Linked DNA regions of Saccharomyces cerevisiae S288C. Changing the gene in region 1 together with any one later gene gives a genetic interaction. Each region holds a gene or a part of one and is shown in the gene's direction. Other genes may lie near its edges.

Region 1 (6,730 bases):
TCCCAAGTTTGTACCACAAAGGACCACGTTAAGAGGCCATATGACGAGTGTTATTACGTGCTTGCAATTTGAAGATAATTATGTCATTACGGGGGCTGATGACAAAATGATCAGAGTTTATGATTCGATAAACAAGAAATTTCTTCTACAACTATCAGGTCATGATGGTGGGGTTTGGGCATTGAAGTATGCCCATGGCGGTATTTTAGTCAGCGGTTCTACAGACAGAACGGTGCGAGTTTGGGATATTAAGAAAGGTTGTTGTACCCATGTGTTTAAAGGTCATAACTCTACGGTGAGGTGCCTAGATATAGTAGAATATAAAAATATCAAGTACATTGTTACTGGTTCGAGAGATAACACTTTGCACGTTTGGAAATTGCCCAAGGAGTCCTCCGTTCCTGATCATGGGGAAGAACATGATTATCCATTAGTCTTTCATACCCCTGAGGAGAACCCATATTTTGTTGGTGTTTTAAGAGGACATATGGCATCTGTAAGAACTGTCTCAGGCCACGGTAATATTGTCGTTAGTGGCTCCTATGATAATACACTGATTGTGTGGGATGTTGCGCAAATGAAATGTTTGTATATTTTAAGTGGACATACGGATCGTATTTATTCGACAATCTACGATCATGAAAGAAAAAGGTGCATCTCTGCCAGTATGGATACCACTATTAGAATTTGGGATTTGGAAAATATATGGAATAATGGAGAATGTTCCTACGCAACAAATTCAGCATCGCCATGCGCCAAAATACTTGGTGCTATGTACACTTTGCAGGGTCATACAGCTTTGGTCGGTTTATTAAGATTATCCGACAAATTTTTGGTCAGTGCCGCTGCAGACGGTTCAATAAGGGGTTGGGACGCAAACGACTACTCTAGAAAATTTTCCTACCATCATACCAATTTGAGTGCAATTACCACATTTTATGTATCGGATAATATTTTGGTGAGTGGATCGGAAAATCAGTTCAACATCTATAATCTACGGAGTGGGAAATTGGTCCACGCAAATATTCTAAAAGATGCTGATCAGATTTGGTCGGTTAATTTTAAGGGCAAAACACTTGTTGCAGCAGTTGAAAAAGATGGACAGAGCTTTTTAGAAATTCTGGATTTCAGCAAAGCTTCAAAAATTAACTACGTTAGCAATCCCGTAAACTCCTCGTCGTCGTCTTTGGAATCCATTTCTACTTCTTTGGGTCTAACGAGGACAACTATAATACCATGACCTTTCCCAGAGAATAAGCATTGACTCATACTTAGATAATATAGCTTAATAAGTAGTTATATAATCAGTAAAAAAGTACAATAACAACTTCGTACATTTTATTGAATATAAACTGCAGCTAAACTGCTTGTATGTTCAATTTTAATTGTGTTTACAAAAAGGGTGCCGTTTATTAATTAATGTTTCTTCCCTGAAAATATGGAAAGTACAAGTTTTTAGTTGAGAAGGGTTTAAGAAAGTTTTGAAAATGATCTAAAAAAATATAAAAGCAATCAAAGAAATAAAAGCTGGAAAAATGCGTAATAACCGAAGTGACTAAAATTTCTTTACGCGCCAAATAAGAAATCGATGCTCTTGAAAGTAGCAACCATTTTTTAAATAATATATTCCTGATGGTTCTTGGCCCAAGAGTTTTCTTGAACTTTTAACGTTAAGAAGTTGATTCTGCTGATTTTTTTCAAGTTATCAAGCGTTATGTTTTGAAACATCTGTTCCGTTTTCAGTTTTTCAAAAAGATCGATATTCTCTTGAGAATTAGGAAGTTCTACGCTCAACCTCCCGTGGGCAGAAGAAATACAAAAGCTAATACAATTGTGTTAGAATAAAGTTCTAATATTATCTAATTAGTAGTATTCATGTTACTAGTATATTATCACATGATATTTCTCAAATTGGACAATGTAAATAATGAGTGTTTTTATGACACAATCTTTATCGTTAGATGTTTCAACGTTCCAAGGCTTGGTTCTATCGCTCTTCTCTTCAAATTGTAATCGTTTGTCATGATAAACACGTACGGGAAAAAAAAAAAAAGTATCAATAACGCGTAAAGTGAATAGAGTATTGGATTCTATAAGACCGAAGACGCTCATATCACATCTCATAAAATCACTTAAAGCAAGCATCCAGAGGCTATTGATAAAAAGCAGGCACAAGGAGACGCAATGGGACGTTTAGTTGGCTTAGAACTAAGTAATTTCAAGTCCTATAGAGGCGTTACCAAGGTAGGATTCGGCGAGTCGAATTTCACAAGTATTATCGGTCCTAACGGATCTGGTAAATCGAATATGATGGATGCTATCTCATTCGTACTCGGTGTGCGGAGTAATCATTTGAGGTCAAACATCTTGAAAGATTTAATCTATAGAGGTGTTCTAAACGATGAGAATAGTGACGATTATGATAACGAGGGCGCTGCCTCTTCGAACCCACAATCCGCATACGTGAAGGCATTTTATCAAAAAGGTAACAAACTGGTGGAGCTGATGAGGATAATTTCCAGAAACGGTGACACTAGTTATAAAATTGATGGAAAAACTGTCTCCTATAAGGACTATTCTATATTTCTTGAGAACGAAAATATTCTTATCAAAGCCAAAAATTTTCTAGTGTTCCAGGGTGATGTTGAGCAAATTGCAGCACAATCTCCCGTAGAATTATCAAGAATGTTTGAAGAAGTATCAGGTTCTATCCAATACAAAAAGGAGTATGAAGAGTTGAAGGAAAAGATTGAGAAATTAAGCAAATCTGCAACCGAATCTATAAAAAATAGGAGAAGGATCCATGGAGAATTGAAGACATATAAAGAAGGTATCAATAAGAACGAGGAGTATAGGAAACAATTGGACAAAAAAAATGAATTACAGAAGTTCCAGGCTCTATGGCAGTTATATCATTTAGAGCAACAAAAAGAGGAGCTAACGGACAAGCTGTCCGCATTAAACTCTGAAATATCGTCTTTAAAGGGAAAAATAAATAACGAGATGAAATCATTACAACGCTCAAAATCTTCCTTTGTTAAAGAAAGCGCAGTAATTTCTAAGCAAAAAAGTAAATTAGATTATATCTTCAAGGATAAGGAAAAATTAGTCTCGGATTTACGGCTCATAAAGGTTCCTCAACAGGCAGCAGGGAAGCGAATTTCCCATATAGAAAAAAGAATCGAAAGTTTACAGAAAGATCTTCAAAGACAGAAGACTTATGTGGAGAGATTTGAAACACAACTAAAAGTGGTGACCAGATCAAAGGAAGCTTTTGAAGAGGAAATCAAACAATCTGCTAGAAACTATGACAAATTCAAGCTAAATGAAAATGATTTAAAGACATATAATTGCTTACATGAAAAATATCTGACTGAAGGTGGGTCAATCCTAGAAGAAAAAATTGCCGTTTTGAACAACGATAAGCGAGAAATCCAAGAGGAATTGGAGAGATTCAACAAAAGGGCAGATATTTCTAAAAGAAGGATAACGGAGGAGCTTTCTATAACAGGAGAAAAATTGGACACGCAATTAAACGATTTAAGAGTTTCTTTGAATGAGAAAAACGCCCTTCATACTGAACGTTTGCACGAGCTGAAAAAATTACAATCTGATATTGAATCTGCTAATAATCAAGAATACGACTTAAATTTCAAGTTGAGGGAAACGTTGGTTAAGATCGATGACTTGAGTGCTAATCAAAGAGAAACAATGAAAGAAAGAAAACTAAGAGAAAATATAGCAATGTTGAAAAGATTCTTCCCCGGAGTAAAAGGTCTTGTTCATGATCTTTGTCACCCAAAAAAGGAGAAATATGGCTTGGCAGTGTCTACCATCTTAGGTAAGAACTTTGATTCCGTCATTGTAGAAAATTTAACCGTAGCTCAAGAATGCATTGCATTTTTGAAGAAGCAACGTGCGGGCACTGCATCTTTCATACCACTAGACACAATTGAGACAGAGTTACCTACATTATCATTGCCTGACTCACAAGACTATATTTTATCAATTAATGCTATTGACTACGAGCCGGAATATGAAAAAGCGATGCAATATGTGTGTGGCGATTCCATCATATGTAATACGTTGAATATTGCTAAAGATCTGAAATGGAAAAAGGGCATAAGAGGCAAATTGGTTACAATTGAAGGTGCTTTGATCCACAAGGCCGGTTTGATGACAGGTGGTATATCAGGAGATGCCAATAATAGGTGGGATAAAGAAGAATATCAAAGCTTAATGTCTTTAAAAGACAAATTACTAATCCAAATCGATGAACTTTCCAACGGTCAACGCTCTAATTCAATCAGAGCAAGAGAAGTTGAAAATAGTGTTTCACTATTGAACTCGGACATAGCAAATTTGAGAACTCAAGTAACACAACAAAAACGCTCCTTGGATGAAAATCGTTTAGAGATTAAGTACCATAATGACTTGATAGAGAAAGAAATTCAACCGAAGATAACTGAACTAAAGAAGAAGCTAGATGATTTAGAAAATACTAAAGATAATTTAGTGAAAGAGAAGGAGGCTTTACAAAATAATATTTTCAAAGAATTCACTAGTAAAATTGGCTTTACAATCAAAGAATATGAAAATCATTCCGGTGAATTGATGAGACAACAATCTAAAGAATTACAGCAGTTACAAAAACAAATTTTGACCGTTGAAAATAAGTTGCAGTTTGAGACAGACAGACTAAGTACTACTCAAAGAAGATATGAAAAGGCGCAAAAGGATTTAGAGAATGCTCAAGTTGAAATGAAGTCTTTGGAAGAACAGGAATATGCAATAGAAATGAAAATCGGATCAATAGAGTCTAAATTGGAAGAACACAAAAATCACTTAGATGAGTTACAGAAGAAATTTGTAACGAAGCAAAGTGAATTAAATTCCAGCGAAGATATTCTAGAGGACATGAACAGCAACTTACAAGTCTTAAAAAGGGAAAGAGACGGTATAAAGGAAGATATTGAAAAGTTTGATTTAGAGAGAGTAACAGCGTTAAAGAATTGTAAAATTTCTAATATAAATATACCTATATCATCTGAAACAACGATAGATGATTTACCAATATCTTCCACTGATAATGAAGCAATTACAATTTCCAACAGTATCGATATAAACTATAAAGGACTACCTAAAAAATACAAAGAAAACAATACCGATTCGGCAAGGAAGGAGCTGGAGCAGAAGATTCATGAAGTGGAGGAAATATTGAACGAGTTGCAGCCCAATGCAAGAGCTTTGGAGAGATACGACGAGGCGGAAGGAAGGTTTGAAGTGATTAATAACGAAACAGAACAACTAAAGGCCGAAGAAAAGAAAATATTAAACCAGTTCCTAAAAATTAAGAAAAAAAGAAAGGAACTGTTCGAAAAGACATTTGATTATGTGAGCGACCATTTAGACGCAATCTACAGGGAACTTACTAAAAATCCCAACTCCAATGTGGAATTGGCCGGTGGTAACGCTTCTTTAACCATAGAAGACGAAGATGAACCGTTCAATGCGGGAATCAAATATCATGCCACTCCGCCTCTTAAAAGATTCAAAGACATGGAATATCTTTCTGGTGGTGAAAAAACCGTAGCTGCATTAGCTCTATTATTTGCTATTAATTCCTACCAGCCTAGTCCCTTCTTCGTGCTGGACGAAGTGGACGCAGCCCTAGACATTACTAACGTCCAGAGAATTGCTGCCTATATAAGAAGGCACCGTAATCCAGATCTCCAATTCATTGTCATTTCATTGAAGAACACCATGTTTGAAAAATCTGACGCTCTCGTTGGGGTTTACAGACAGCAACAAGAAAACTCGTCGAAGATCATAACTTTGGACTTGAGCAATTACGCAGAATAATCTATGAAACCAACCTCTGCTATAACCCGTCAAATAACTAATAATATCTATATAGGTCAACTAGCTAGTGCAATATCATAGTAACAATAATATTAATAACGTCACTTTTTTTCCAGGGTAACCCAATTGTGGTGGGTGGCGGCCGAGGTATCCCTTAGAAAAGAATTTTTTAAGTTCTTTCTCATCTCTTACCAGTGGAGAAGTACACGATATTTGCAAAGTCTGTCATCAGGGCTTGATAATAAAGCTGCATTAGATCTTAGCAAAAACTACGAGAAGAACATTGAATATTGTAGCTGTATTTGCATACATAAACTTTATCATTGTTCGTTAGCTAGCTTTGCACATTAATTTTTCGATTTGTTACCGCCAATGACCGCTAACAATGACGATGATATCAAATCACCCATTCCCATTACTAACAAGACCTTATCCCAATTGAAGCGCTTTGAGAGAAGTCCAGGAAGGCCCAGTTCTTCTCAGGGCGAGATAAAACGTAAAAAGTCTAGGCTATATGCCGCAGACGGAAGACCACATTCTCCGCTAAGAGCAAGGTCTGCTACCCCAACGCTACAGGACCAAAAACTGTTCAATGGCATGGATTCCACTTCCCTTTTGAATGAAAGGCTACAGCATTATACGCTGGATTATGTTAGTGACAGGGCCCAGCATATGAAGAATATATATGACCCATCATCTCGCTGGTTCAGCAGATCCGTGAGGCCTGAATTTCCTATTGAAGAGTTCTTACCATATAAGACTGAAAGTCATGAAGATCAAGCGAAATACTTGTGCCATGTCTTAGTTAATCTTTATATTGCGATCAGCTCATTAGATATACAAGGTTTGATTTCTATTTCCAGTAAAG
Region 2 (5,178 bases), on another chromosome or scaffold:
GCAAGCTTTCAGCAGGCTCAATTGCTTATAGCGGTATAACTGCAACAAGAGTGAAAATTAATATGGTGACGAACGACGGATTCGGTAGTACAGTGTTATAATGCCGGCAATTACCGTATGCCATCGGAATCCAGATGCATTTCTGAACCTTTCCACTCGGGAAAACCACTCGTCATGTCACACGGAGAGTTGGCCATGAACTGGCTAATGGGATGGTCTAAGGCGACCACTGTAAGAAGAACAAGAGATGATGCAAGCTAAAGCAAGCAGGTCTCAAATAAACGCTACTTGTGCCGTTGACAGCTTGTTTATCTTGCACATGGCAAGGCCATCGCGTCCCTGCGTCCCAAGAGTGCGCGGTATACGTGCGGCCCTAAACGAGGCGGTCTCTGTTCTCTGATATATTTCTTTTCTTTCTTCGTTGTTTTGTTTCGTGTTTGTTGAGCTCCTGCCTTCAATCGGCATCGTCCTCTTGCGTACGTACATAAAATCGTTACAGCTTTGTTCACATGGTGAAAACAATAGCGTTTGGTACGCTCTTTAAATCTTGGCACTTGTCACTTACGCTCCTTTAAACAAAATCAAACATACAAATATACGGATACGTACGCACACAGAAGCATAAAAGCACAAAAGCACATAAGAAGACCACATATAAACTAGATTATGTCCTTTGATAGACAGTTGACCGAAGACCAGGAGGTCGTCCTTAAGCAAATTTGGACACACCTTTTCCATCTGTGGCAAGTTCCCGTGGATGGAACTCATATTTTCCCTAATAACTCCCTCCACTCCTCGTCCACCCCTGCTAAGAAGAAGAAATCATCCTGGTTTAGCAAGCTTCAGTCCTCAGACCATACACAGGACTCCAGCGAAGCCGCTGAAGCGGCACACCTCTATGAAAAGGGCAAGATACACAAGGCACTAGCCAATCTAGACCCGCAAACGACCAAGAAGCAGTTCTGGCACGATATCAAGAATGAAACTCCAGACGCCACCATTTTGAAGTTTATCAGAGCCAGAAAGTGGAACGCAGACAAGACCATCGCCATGTTGGGTCACGATTTGTACTGGCGCAAGGACACTATTAACAAGATCATAAACGGTGGCGAAAGAGCTGTGTATGAGAATAACGAGACCGGTGTCATTAAGAACCTGGAATTGCAAAAGGCCACCATCCAGGGTTACGACAATGACATGAGGCCAGTCATCCTTGTGAGACCTAGATTACATCATTCTTCCGACCAAACTGAACAGGAGCTGGAAAAATTCTCCCTGTTGGTCATCGAGCAATCAAAGCTTTTCTTCAAAGAAAACTACCCCGCATCCACCACCATCTTGTTCGATCTGAACGGGTTCTCCATGTCCAATATGGACTATGCCCCCGTCAAGTTTCTAATCACTTGTTTTGAGGCTCACTACCCGGAATCTTTGGGCCATCTACTTATCCATAAGGCCCCTTGGATCTTTAACCCGATTTGGAACATCATCAAGAATTGGCTGGATCCGGTCGTCGCGTCCAAGATTGTTTTCACTAAGAATATCGACGAATTGCACAAGTTTATCCAACCCCAATACATCCCTAGGTATCTGGGCGGAGAAAATGACAATGATTTGGATCATTACACTCCACCAGATGGCTCTTTGGACGTCCATCTGAAAGACACCGAGACTCGCGCTATGATCGAAAAGGAGAGAGAAGAATTGGTCGAACAATTCTTGACTGTCACTGCCCAATGGATTGAACACCAGCCATTGAACGATCCAGCATACATTCAACTGCAGGAGAAAAGAGTACAACTTTCCACCGCTCTTTGTGAAAACTACTCCAAGTTAGATCCGTACATCAGATCAAGATCCGTTTATGACTACAATGGTTCTCTAAAAGTTTGAGCCAAGCCACGCGACGCTCCATACTGTATAGACCTTTATTATAAAAACATCTATTTCTTTATATGTCCCTCTATCTTATTTTTCTTTTACTTTTATTTGTATAATACGCGAAAAATTATAGAATCATTTATTATCAAAAACAATCAACTATGAAATGAAAAACAATACGCCTGCTAATACGGTTCGCCCTTCAATTTTTGTTTTTTTTACATGAATGAGTCTTATACTAGATGATATCATCCTCTCACTAACGAATGCTAACGAACGAACGCCACCACAGGCCCTTAAAACCACTTTAAGCCTGCTATACGAAAAATCAAAACAATATGGTCTTTCTTCGCCGCAACTACAAGCACTTGTAAGGTTACTCTGTGAAACTTCCATAATAGACACAGTTACAAAAGTGTACATCGTCGAAAATTGCTTTTTACCTGATGGCTACTTGACGAAGGAACTTCTTTTGGAGATTATTAACCATCTCGGTACGCCAACGGTATTCTCTAGATATCGCATACAAACGCCTCCGGTCCTACAATCTGCGTTGTGCAAATGGTTAGTGCATGTTTATTTCCTATTTCCTGTACATTCAGAACGAGAACACAATATATCCAGTTCTATCTGGTTACATTTATGGCAATTCTCGTTCTTACAGAAGTGGATAACTCCCCTGGTTATTTGGCAAGCCACGACGCCCGTTGATGTCAAACCTTGGAAGTTGTCTATTATCAAGAGATGCGCTATGCATCCAGGTTACCGGGACGCTCCCGGTAGTGCGACGCTTATTTTGCAACGATTTCAATGTCTCGTGGGCGCATCCAGTCAGATTACTGAATCAATAATTACCATCAATTGCAATAGAAAGACTTTGAAAAGTCATCGAAACTTAAAATTGGATGCGCATTTCCTATCCATTTTGAAAAGAATATTATCCAGAGCACATCCCGCTAATTTTCCCGCTGACACTGTCCAAAACACAATTGACATGTACTTGAGTGAAATTCATCAATTAGGTGCTGATTCTATATACCCACTTCGACTTCAATCACTTCCAGAATATGTTCCCTCTGACAGTACGGTCTCTCTTTGGGATGTCACTTCATTGGAACAATTAGCTCAAAACTGGCCACAATTGCATATTCCCAATGATGTAGATTACATGATGAAGCCATCTTTAAACAGCAATGTTTTACTGCCGCGAAAAGTCATGTCTAGGGATTCTCTCAAACACTTGTACTCTAGTATCATTCTCATTAAAAATAGCCGCGATGAGTCGTCATCACCATACGAATGGTGCATTTGGCAATTGAAGCGATGCTTTGCACATCAGATAGAGACTCCGCAAGAAGTTATTCCCATTATTATTTCGGTGTCCTCAATGGATAATAAACTGTCTTCTCGCATTATTCAAACGTTTTGTAATTTGAAATACTTAAAACTCGATGAGCTTACGTTGAAAAAGGTTTGTGGCGGAATCTTGCCATTATGGAAGCCTGAACTAATCAGTGGTACAAGGGAATTTTTCGTTAAGTTTATGGCCAGTATTTTTATGTGGAGTACACGAGATGGTCACGACAATAATTGCACATTTTCTGAAACTTGTTTTTACGTTTTACAAATGATTACAAACTGGGTTTTAGATGATAAATTGATAGCACTCGGGTTGACACTACTGCATGACATGCAAAGCCTGCTAACTTTGGACAAAATCTTTAACAATGCTACTTCAAACAGATTTTCTACGATGGCTTTCATCAGCTCGTTAGATATTTTAACTCAACTGTCGAAACAAACGAAGTCGGATTATGCGATCCAATATTTGATTGTGGGCCCTGACATCATGAATAAAGTGTTCAGTTCGGACGATCCTTTGCTATTATCAGCTGCGTGCAGGTACTTGGTTGCTACGAAAAATAAATTGATGCAATACCCGTCAACAAACAAATTCGTTCGGATGCAGAACCAATATATCATGGATTTGACAAATTATCTTTACAGGAATAAAGTTCTGTCATCCAAAAGTTTGTTTGGAGTCTCACCAGATTTCTTTAAGCAGATTTTGGAGAATCTTTATATCCCAACTGCAGACTTCAAGAACGCTAAATTTTTCACGATAACTGGTATACCAGCGCTATCCTACATATGTATTATTATTCTAAGACGACTGGAAACGGCCGAAAATACCAAAATAAAATTCACCAGTGGGATCATAAATGAAGAGACGTTTAACAATTTCTTTCGAGTTCATCATGATGAGATTGGCCAGCATGGTTGGATAAAGGGCGTTAATAACATTCACGACTTGAGAGTAAAGATTTTAATGCATTTGAGTAACACTGCTAATCCATATAGAGACATTGCAGCATTCTTGTTTACATATTTGAAGAGTCTCTCAAAGTATAGCGTTCAAAATTCTTAGAATATGCATCCACATTTATATACATATATATATATATATATATATTATAACTTCCAAAAAGGAGATTGGACAATTTATATCTATAAGGCATTAATATTTAACTATTTACAAGCACTAGTGGTAAATTCATGGCGTCATATGATTACTTGTGGAATAAGAAACTAATCACATTGAATTTCATGACAAATTTTTTGATTTTTTTATTCATCAAATACATTCTCCCTTCCGGTAAGTTCATCAAAGTTTCAATAACAGCATCCCTACCTAATTTCAAAAAGTTTTTGTCAGCCGTGTACATGAATTTGACTCTGCCATTTACCACAATTTGAAACTTTTTGAATTTGGACTCAGTAGTGCGCTCAACTTCTGGCCAGCGGTATTGGTTCCATTCCATTTGGGAGTTGATCATCTCTGCAGCTTCTTCTGAAATTGACGGGACAGCAGGATATATAACGGTTACCAACTTTTGTAAATTCTGTACTATCATTTCATTCCTTACTTCACCTTTTTTCAATGCACTTTCTAAAATATTGGTTAGCTTCATATAATCAGATATTACAGTGTTTAACGATAGATTAACTTCAAATGATTCCGTAATTGATTTCAAGAAGCGTTGGAAATCGTTGTGAAATTTCACTTCTGCATCATTTAAGTCGGTCGGGGTCTTGTAGTCTTTACTTATTGCCAAATCCTTCTCGAGACTGAGAATATTTTTGGTCAAATGAAGAACCTTCTGCAACCAACGTTCTATACCAACAATCTTGGATTCATCCCAATTCAGGGCATCTGCAATTGGACTTTGGAAGAGGATATGTGCTCTCGTAGCATCAGGTCCATGTCTTAAAATACATTCATTTGGATCTGCACCA
Region 3 (3,305 bases), on another chromosome or scaffold:
CAAAAAGACTATTATTCTGTTGTGGTTGTTGTAACCCATTTTGGCCAAATGGCTGATTATTATTTTGATTGGTCTGGCCAAACAATCCACCAGGTTGGGACTGCGACTGGTTGTTTTGTTGTCCGAATAATCCCCCGGTTGATTGCTGTTGTTGGTTATTTTGCCCAAATATAGAATTATTTTGGGCATTACCAGACGCAAAAGTGGATGCTCCCTGCTGTTGTCCAAACAGTCCTCCTGCAGGTTTGCTTCCAAATAATCCGCCTTGTTGCTGTGGCTGGCCAAATGCGTTTGAGGAGTTTTGTTGTCCAAATAATCCGGATTGGTTCTGGCTTTGGTTATTCTGACCGAACAATCCTCCAGCGTTGGAATTTTGTTGCTGGCCAAATAACCCTCCTCCACTTTGCTGCTGATTGGTTTGCCCAAATAAGCCACCAGTGGTACCAGTGGGGTTGGTATTCATTCCGAATGCTTTTGAACCAGCAGATTGTCCAAATAGTCCACCAGAAGCAGGTTTAGCTCCAAAAAGAGCACCAGTGCCTTGCTGTTGGCCGAAAGCGCCACCATTTGCGTTAGCGTTTGATTGACCAAATATACCACCACTACCTTGTTGTGTTTGTTGTTGGGGAAAGGCACCACGATTCACCTGACCAAAGGCTCCCCCGTTACTGACATTATTCGCCCCAAATGAATTTTGCTGTTGACCAAATAATCCTCCGTTTGTATTTGAGTTCTGCTGGCCGAAAAGGCCTGTATTATTAGTGCCGTTTGTTGGGTTGTTAGTTGTATTACCAAACAATCCCCCGGAAGTGGCAGGTTTATTTGCTCCAAATGCAGAATTTCCTGAGAGGTTAGTAGAGCTTCCAAACAATCCTGTAGAGTTGGTCGCTCCAGAGCCAAAGCCACCACCACTTCCAGTTCCGGTTCCAAACATGCCTGTTGCTGGCTTTTGACCAAATAATCCTCCTGTTGTAGCAGAAGTAGTGGAGTTATTATTACCCATAATTCCAAATCCAGTATTGGTAGTTCCTTGAGGATTGTTAAAAGTAGTACCAGTGCCATTTTGACTGGTACCGAATTTTCTACCAGCTTGGTAATCTTGAAATCTCAATTCTTCAAAAGAAAAATTTCTGTATTCAGGCATACAGGTGATACTTTGGAAGACGTTGATGACACCTGTGGTTGGATCCTTCTCTTCGAATGTAGTAAAAGGTTTAATGCTTGTACCTGCAGTAGAATTGGGCACAACAGAAGCGGAACCAGCAGAAAGTGCTGTGTTATTACCCATTCCACCGAAGATCGAGCCAGAGGCATTGTTGTTCGTCAATTGACTTTGACCAAAAGGAGTACCATTTGCTGTAGTCGAGCCTGACATTCCGAAGGGAGAATTAGAAGTTTGGTTACCAAAGTTACCAAACGCAGGTGCTTGTGTTGTATTTGTTTGCTGACTGAGGCCGAAAGCAGAAGTGTTTGCTACTGGTTGTTGTTGTTGCTGTTGGCCACCAAAGGTTGATCCTGTTGAGCCAAATGGCTGTGTTGTTGCGCTGGGGAATGCGCCACGGCTAACTCCAAACATAATAATGTTTTAAAAAAGAAATCTTCGAAGCTGAATGGTGCCTCTCAGTTGCCGGGATCTCTATGCAATGCTGATAGTTTCCTTTGCGACCTTATGACACTTTATTAACTCTAAGTATAATTTAGTTTTGTTCTTTTTCTAATGAGCATGGTAAGGAAAAATGCCGGGTAATGATAATCTGCAAAAGTGACAATAATAAACTGACGCGTAACAAGATCAATGATATACTGGATTAAAATGCCATGAAAACGTGAACAGAAACTTTTATTGAGGTCATGGATCAAGATTTTGACAGTTTATTACTAGGTTTCAATGACTCCGATAGTGTCCAAAAAGACCCAACTGTACCAAATGGCTTGGATGGTTCAGTAGTTGATCCTACCATTGCGGATCCAACCGCAATTACAGCTAGAAAGAGAAGGCCTCAAGTAAAATTAACAGCCGAAAAACTACTCAGTGATAAAGGTTTACCATATGTTTTGAAAAATGCACATAAAAGGATACGAATTTCCTCAAAAAAAAACTCATATGACAACTTATCAAATATTATTCAGTTTTACCAGCTTTGGGCACATGAATTGTTTCCCAAGGCAAAATTTAAGGATTTTATGAAGATCTGTCAAACAGTAGGTAAAACAGATCCAGTTCTTAGAGAATATAGAGTCAGCCTTTTTAGGGACGAGATGGGCATGAGTTTCGATGTTGGCACACGGGAGACTGGGCAAGACCTGGAAAGACAATCACCTATGGTTGAAGAACATGTCACTTCCGCGGAAGAGAGGCCTATTGTCGCAGATAGTTTTGCGCAAGACAAAAGGAATGTAAACAATGTCGATTACGATAATGACGAAGATGACGATATCTATCACCTTTCTTATCGCAACAGAAGAGGACGAGTTTTGGACGAACGTGGGAATAATGAAACGGTACTTAACAACGTTGTGCCGCCTAAGGAAGATTTGGATGCATTATTGAAGACATTCAGGGTACAAGGGCCCGTTGGCCTTGAAGAAAATGAGAAGAAGCTCTTATTAGGATGGCTAGATGCGCATAGAAAAATGGAAAAAGGCTCTATGACTGAAGAAGACGTTCAACTGATTCAAAGTTTGGAAGAGTGGGAAATGAATGATATAGAGGGACAACATACTCATTATGATTTATTGCCAGGGGGAGATGAGTTTGGCGTAGATCAAGATGAGTTGGATGCTATGAAGGAAATGGGCTTTTAGCAATGTCATTGAAGGTAATAATCCAAACGTGCGTGTGGGCATCTATACATATAGGTTTATATATATTGTGTAAATAAAGCTTGTAGAAAGAGCCTGGTTCGAGTGTTTGATTTTTTCTTCTTGGGCGTTATTATACAATATCTACTTCAAATTATTTATCTAGGTGGTCCATAAGCGAGCCGTATTATCAGCACCGGCAGAAAACAGCCAAGCTTCCCTCGGATGCCAAATAGCATCAAGAACACCCAGACTATTGATTACTTTATGACCGGTTAGTTTCTTTAGTGGCACAATCATCGGATTTTTCATCATGTCATCATAAACAGTGGCATGGAAAACATGTATGGTACCGTCATCAGCGGCAGAGCTGAATAGAGGTAACTTTTTGTGGAAATTCACACTTCTGACGGCTTTTTCATGATATCTTAGTGTCTTGTAAGGTGTGCTAGCCAAATCCAGGTCGTGCCATAAAACTCTCTTGTCAAACGATGACGCAATTA
Region 4 (3,479 bases), on another chromosome or scaffold:
AATTATATGTATAAAAATCATAAAACAACTATATAATTAATTATAACTCAAAAACTTTTCCAGTAAATGTCTGTTTTTTGGGCAGGAACAATGGCCAATAGCTCACGTACTGTTCGTGGGGGCCTTAAGCCTGGTATCTAGGCTCTGATTTCCAGAAGAAAGTGACATCGATGAATGCACTCAAGAGATTTTATGTGTTGTGAATATGTATATATTTATTTAGAAAAAAAAAAAAAAAAAAAAACCAAAATCATATACCTTAGGCATCCCGTTTCCCTCTTCATCATTTTTGTCCCTTTATATCAATTTTTTTAGACTTCATATAATTTTGTATCAACTGTACCCTACATCCCTTGGTATTCAAAATCTTGATATTACTACTTTTGCCATTACTGTCAGTGATTTGTTTGTTTAATATGAACTCCGTCAAGTTTTGCTCATTCAAGAAATTTGTTGTCTCTTCTATACTGTTGAAATTAAACTCACTTTTAACAAAATCTAAATTGACCTGGTTATAACTCTTACAAATTATGGTCAAAAATATCAACTTTTCTAGATTTAAGAATGAATTAATTAGACATTTTTCAAATTTGTGCAGTTTTAGGTAGTTTTTCATGAAGTAGTGATAATTGCCGACTAGTTTCATATCGCTCAACTCAAATATCATTTTGACATGTTCGTCCTCCAAGATTTCCGAAGAGCCATCGTCTATTAACTTAAGTTTTAAATGAGAAATCGACGGATAGTCTTCGGTTAACATCGAATACAAAACAGAATAGCATATAAATTCGGAATAAGATTTTTTTGGTATTGTAGGGTTTTCGAATAACGCCATAATCCTATTTTGACATTGATTAAATTCCCCAAGATCTCCGTTCTCCAAGGCAATACGTGCATGCGTTTGGTACACTTTAATAGTGAAAGAGTTCTCGATCATTTGCACTCTTAGGTCTTGTCTCATTGATTTAAACTGGTCGCAAAGGTAAGTATAAGTGGCTGTTTTAGATTGGTATTTGTCCATTAACAAGCAATACATTTTTTGTAGAATATTTGGGGGTCTGATCAAGTCAGGATTAGGCTCTGAAGTTAGTCTCAGATAAGATTTCTCTAGAGTTTGGCAACGCCCTACCACATGAATCTTTTTGTCATATTGATGAGATTTGCTACTAATGGCATTTAGGTTGGCAAAGTCTTCATTCAAATTATCGTTACTATTCGTCGTCGCTGATGGTCCCTGACTGAATCTTTCTGCCCTTCTCTTTCTTCTCTCTAATTCATCACTGCCACCCATTTCAACTTTCCATCCCGATGCCGAACCTACAGCACCATGCCCTACTATATTACTGTTGCTCATTACATTGCCGGATACCCCGTTAGAAAGGGCTGATGCCTTCTTAGATACTCTTGGTAATTTCTTTTTAATGTTTTTGTTCATACGTTTTTGTAATCCCGGAAGCGGTGTTACCATCAAAGGGTTAGAAACCTGGTTGACGTTGTTCCAAGATAAACGTGGTTCTGGCAAAGGCAGAGAAGGTTGTTGATTGGCAATGAAATTATTATTATTGTATGTCAGAGAAGGGAAAGATCCGGCGTAATCTAGGGGCCTATTCAGGCTTTGGCCGAATGGTCCTCCTTGAGATGAAGCTTCCCTGTCCTCCGTGGTATTGTTAGTAAAGTGACCGTAAGGATTCTGCATAATGTTATTGGAAACTCAACTACTCGCTGCCGAACGGTTCCTACTCCTTGTATTCTATGGTTTCTTTACGAGACAGCCAAATCTCTATTTTTTGTCATGTTCAGTCCTTTTTTACTCAAAAATTCCAAACCGTGAAGGATGATGCATGTTGACAATAAATGATAGCCGTCATCACATACAGTGTGCAATATCTAGATACTTCTAACCATTTCTTCCTGTCGTGGGGAGTTCATACCATTTTGACAGATGACAAACAGTAGTGAAAAACAATGGGAAAGAATCCAGCAATTAGAAAAGGAGCACGTGGAGGTATATAGAGAGTTGTTGATCACGTTGGACAGGTTGTACTTGATTAGAAAACACAATCATGCGGTAATATTAAGCCATACTCAACAGCGCCTCTTGGAAATTAGACACCAACTTCAAATTAATCTTGAAAAGACTGCTCTTCTTATTAGACTGTTGGAGAAACCGGACAATACCAATGTATTATTCACCAAGCTACAAAACCTCTTAGAAGAAAGCAATTCTCTGGACTATGAGCTCTTGCAATCGTTAGGTGCTCAATCTTCATTGCACAAACAGTTGATTGAATCAAGAGCAGAACGCGACGAATTGATGTCAAAACTGATTGAGTTATCGTCGAAGTTTCCCAAACCAACTATACCGCCAGACGACAGTGATACTGCTGGAAAACAGGTTGAGGTAGAAAAGGAAAATGAAACGATACAAGAATTGATGATTGCTTTACAGATACACTCCGGATATACAAACATATCCTACACAATTTGATTTTTATCTTCTAATGCTATTTATATATTCAAATAATTTTAATACTGACAACGCTAATAATAATAGTTACTTAATTAAGGTTTGAATCTTCGAGAAAAAAAAAAGGTAGGAAAATTAAGGAACTACTCACAAATTCAGAGAGAGAGAAGGGATAAAAAAATATCTGCCAATGGAGGTAACTTCAATGTTTCTCAATAGAATGATGAAGACCAGGACTGGTCTTTATCGCTTATATTCAACCCTTAAAGTTCCACATGTAGAAATCAATGGCATAAAATACAAGACCGACCCACAGACTACCAATGTTACAGATTCAATAATAAAGCTTACCGACAGATCATTACATTTGAAAGAATCACATCCAGTAGGCATTCTTCGCGATCTAATTGAAAAGAAATTAAACTCAGTCGACAACACATTTAAGATCTTTAATAATTTCAAGCCCGTGGTAACCACAATGGAAAACTTCGATTCTTTAGGGTTTCCTAAGGATCATCCTGGAAGATCAAAATCTGACACATATTATATAAATGAGACGCACCTACTGAGAACACATACTTCAGCCCACGAATTAGAGTGCTTTCAAAAAATAAGAAACGATTCAGATAATATTAAAAGTGGATTTTTAATATCTGCAGATGTGTACAGAAGAGATGAAATTGACAAAACTCACTATCCGGTATTCCACCAAATGGAAGGAGCCACAATTTGGAAACGAACGAAGGCTGATGTGGGCGTAAAGGAGCCAATGTATATCGAGAAAATCCGTGAAGATATCAGACAGGTAGAGAACCTTTTAAATAAAGAAAATGTAAAGATTACGGTTGACGATGATACTATACCTTTGAAAGAAAATAATCCTAAACAAGAGTATATGTCCGATCTGGAGGTTGATTTGTGCTCTCAACATTTGAAGAGGTCCATTGAACTGATAGTTTCTGAAGTTTTTAACAAAAAAATATCTAGCATGATCAAGAACAAAGCGAATAAT

The links.
Region 2: mutations in SMC1 (region 1) and CTF3 together harm fitness more than expected from each alone (negative genetic interaction), as found in Saccharomyces cerevisiae (5 studies listed by BioGRID).
Region 3: mutations in SMC1 (region 1) and CSM3 together harm fitness more than expected from each alone (negative genetic interaction), as found in Saccharomyces cerevisiae (5 studies listed by BioGRID).
Region 4: mutations in SMC1 (region 1) and MCM16 together harm fitness more than expected from each alone (negative genetic interaction), as found in Saccharomyces cerevisiae (5 studies listed by BioGRID).

The regions. Positions count from the first base shown.
Region 1 is NC_001138.5:117,245-123,974, forward strand, and holds SMC1 (cohesin subunit SMC1), read left to right. Parts: upstream 1-2,184; coding exon 2,185-5,862; downstream 5,863-6,730. Other genes in the region: SCF ubiquitin ligase complex subunit CDC4, read left to right, coding at 1-1,240; proteasome activator BLM10, read left to right, coding at 6,235-6,730. UniProt on the Saccharomyces cerevisiae protein: Involved in chromosome cohesion during cell cycle and in DNA repair. Central component of cohesin complex. The cohesin complex is required for the cohesion of sister chromatids after DNA replication.
Region 2 is NC_001144.5:877,616-882,793, forward strand, and holds CTF3 (Ctf3p), read left to right. Parts: upstream 1-2,107; coding exon 2,108-4,309; downstream 4,310-5,178. Other genes in the region: YLR379W-A (uncharacterized protein), read left to right, coding at 1-101; CSR1 (Csr1p), read left to right, coding at 667-1,893; leucine--tRNA ligase NAM2, read right to left, coding at 4,452-5,178. UniProt on the Saccharomyces cerevisiae protein: Component of the central kinetochore, which mediates the attachment of the centromere to the mitotic spindle by forming essential interactions between the microtubule-associated outer kinetochore proteins and the centromere-associated inner kinetochore proteins.
Region 3 is NC_001145.3:365,130-368,434, forward strand, and holds CSM3 (Csm3p), read left to right. Parts: upstream 1-1,851; coding exon 1,852-2,805; downstream 2,806-3,305. Other genes in the region: FG-nucleoporin NUP116, read right to left, coding at 1-1,576; ribosome biogenesis protein ERB1, read right to left, coding at 2,965-3,305. UniProt on the Saccharomyces cerevisiae protein: Forms a fork protection complex (FPC) with TOF1 which is required for chromosome segregation during meiosis and DNA damage repair. FPC coordinates leading and lagging strand synthesis and moves with the replication fork.
Region 4 is NC_001148.4:654,857-658,335, forward strand, and holds MCM16 (Mcm16p), read left to right. Parts: upstream 1-1,942; coding exon 1,943-2,488; downstream 2,489-3,479. Other genes in the region: THP3 (Thp3p), read right to left, coding at 284-1,696; MSF1 (phenylalanine--tRNA ligase), read left to right, coding at 2,673-3,479. UniProt on the Saccharomyces cerevisiae protein: Component of the kinetochore, a multiprotein complex that assembles on centromeric DNA and attaches chromosomes to spindle microtubules, mediating chromosome segregation and sister chromatid segregation during meiosis and mitosis.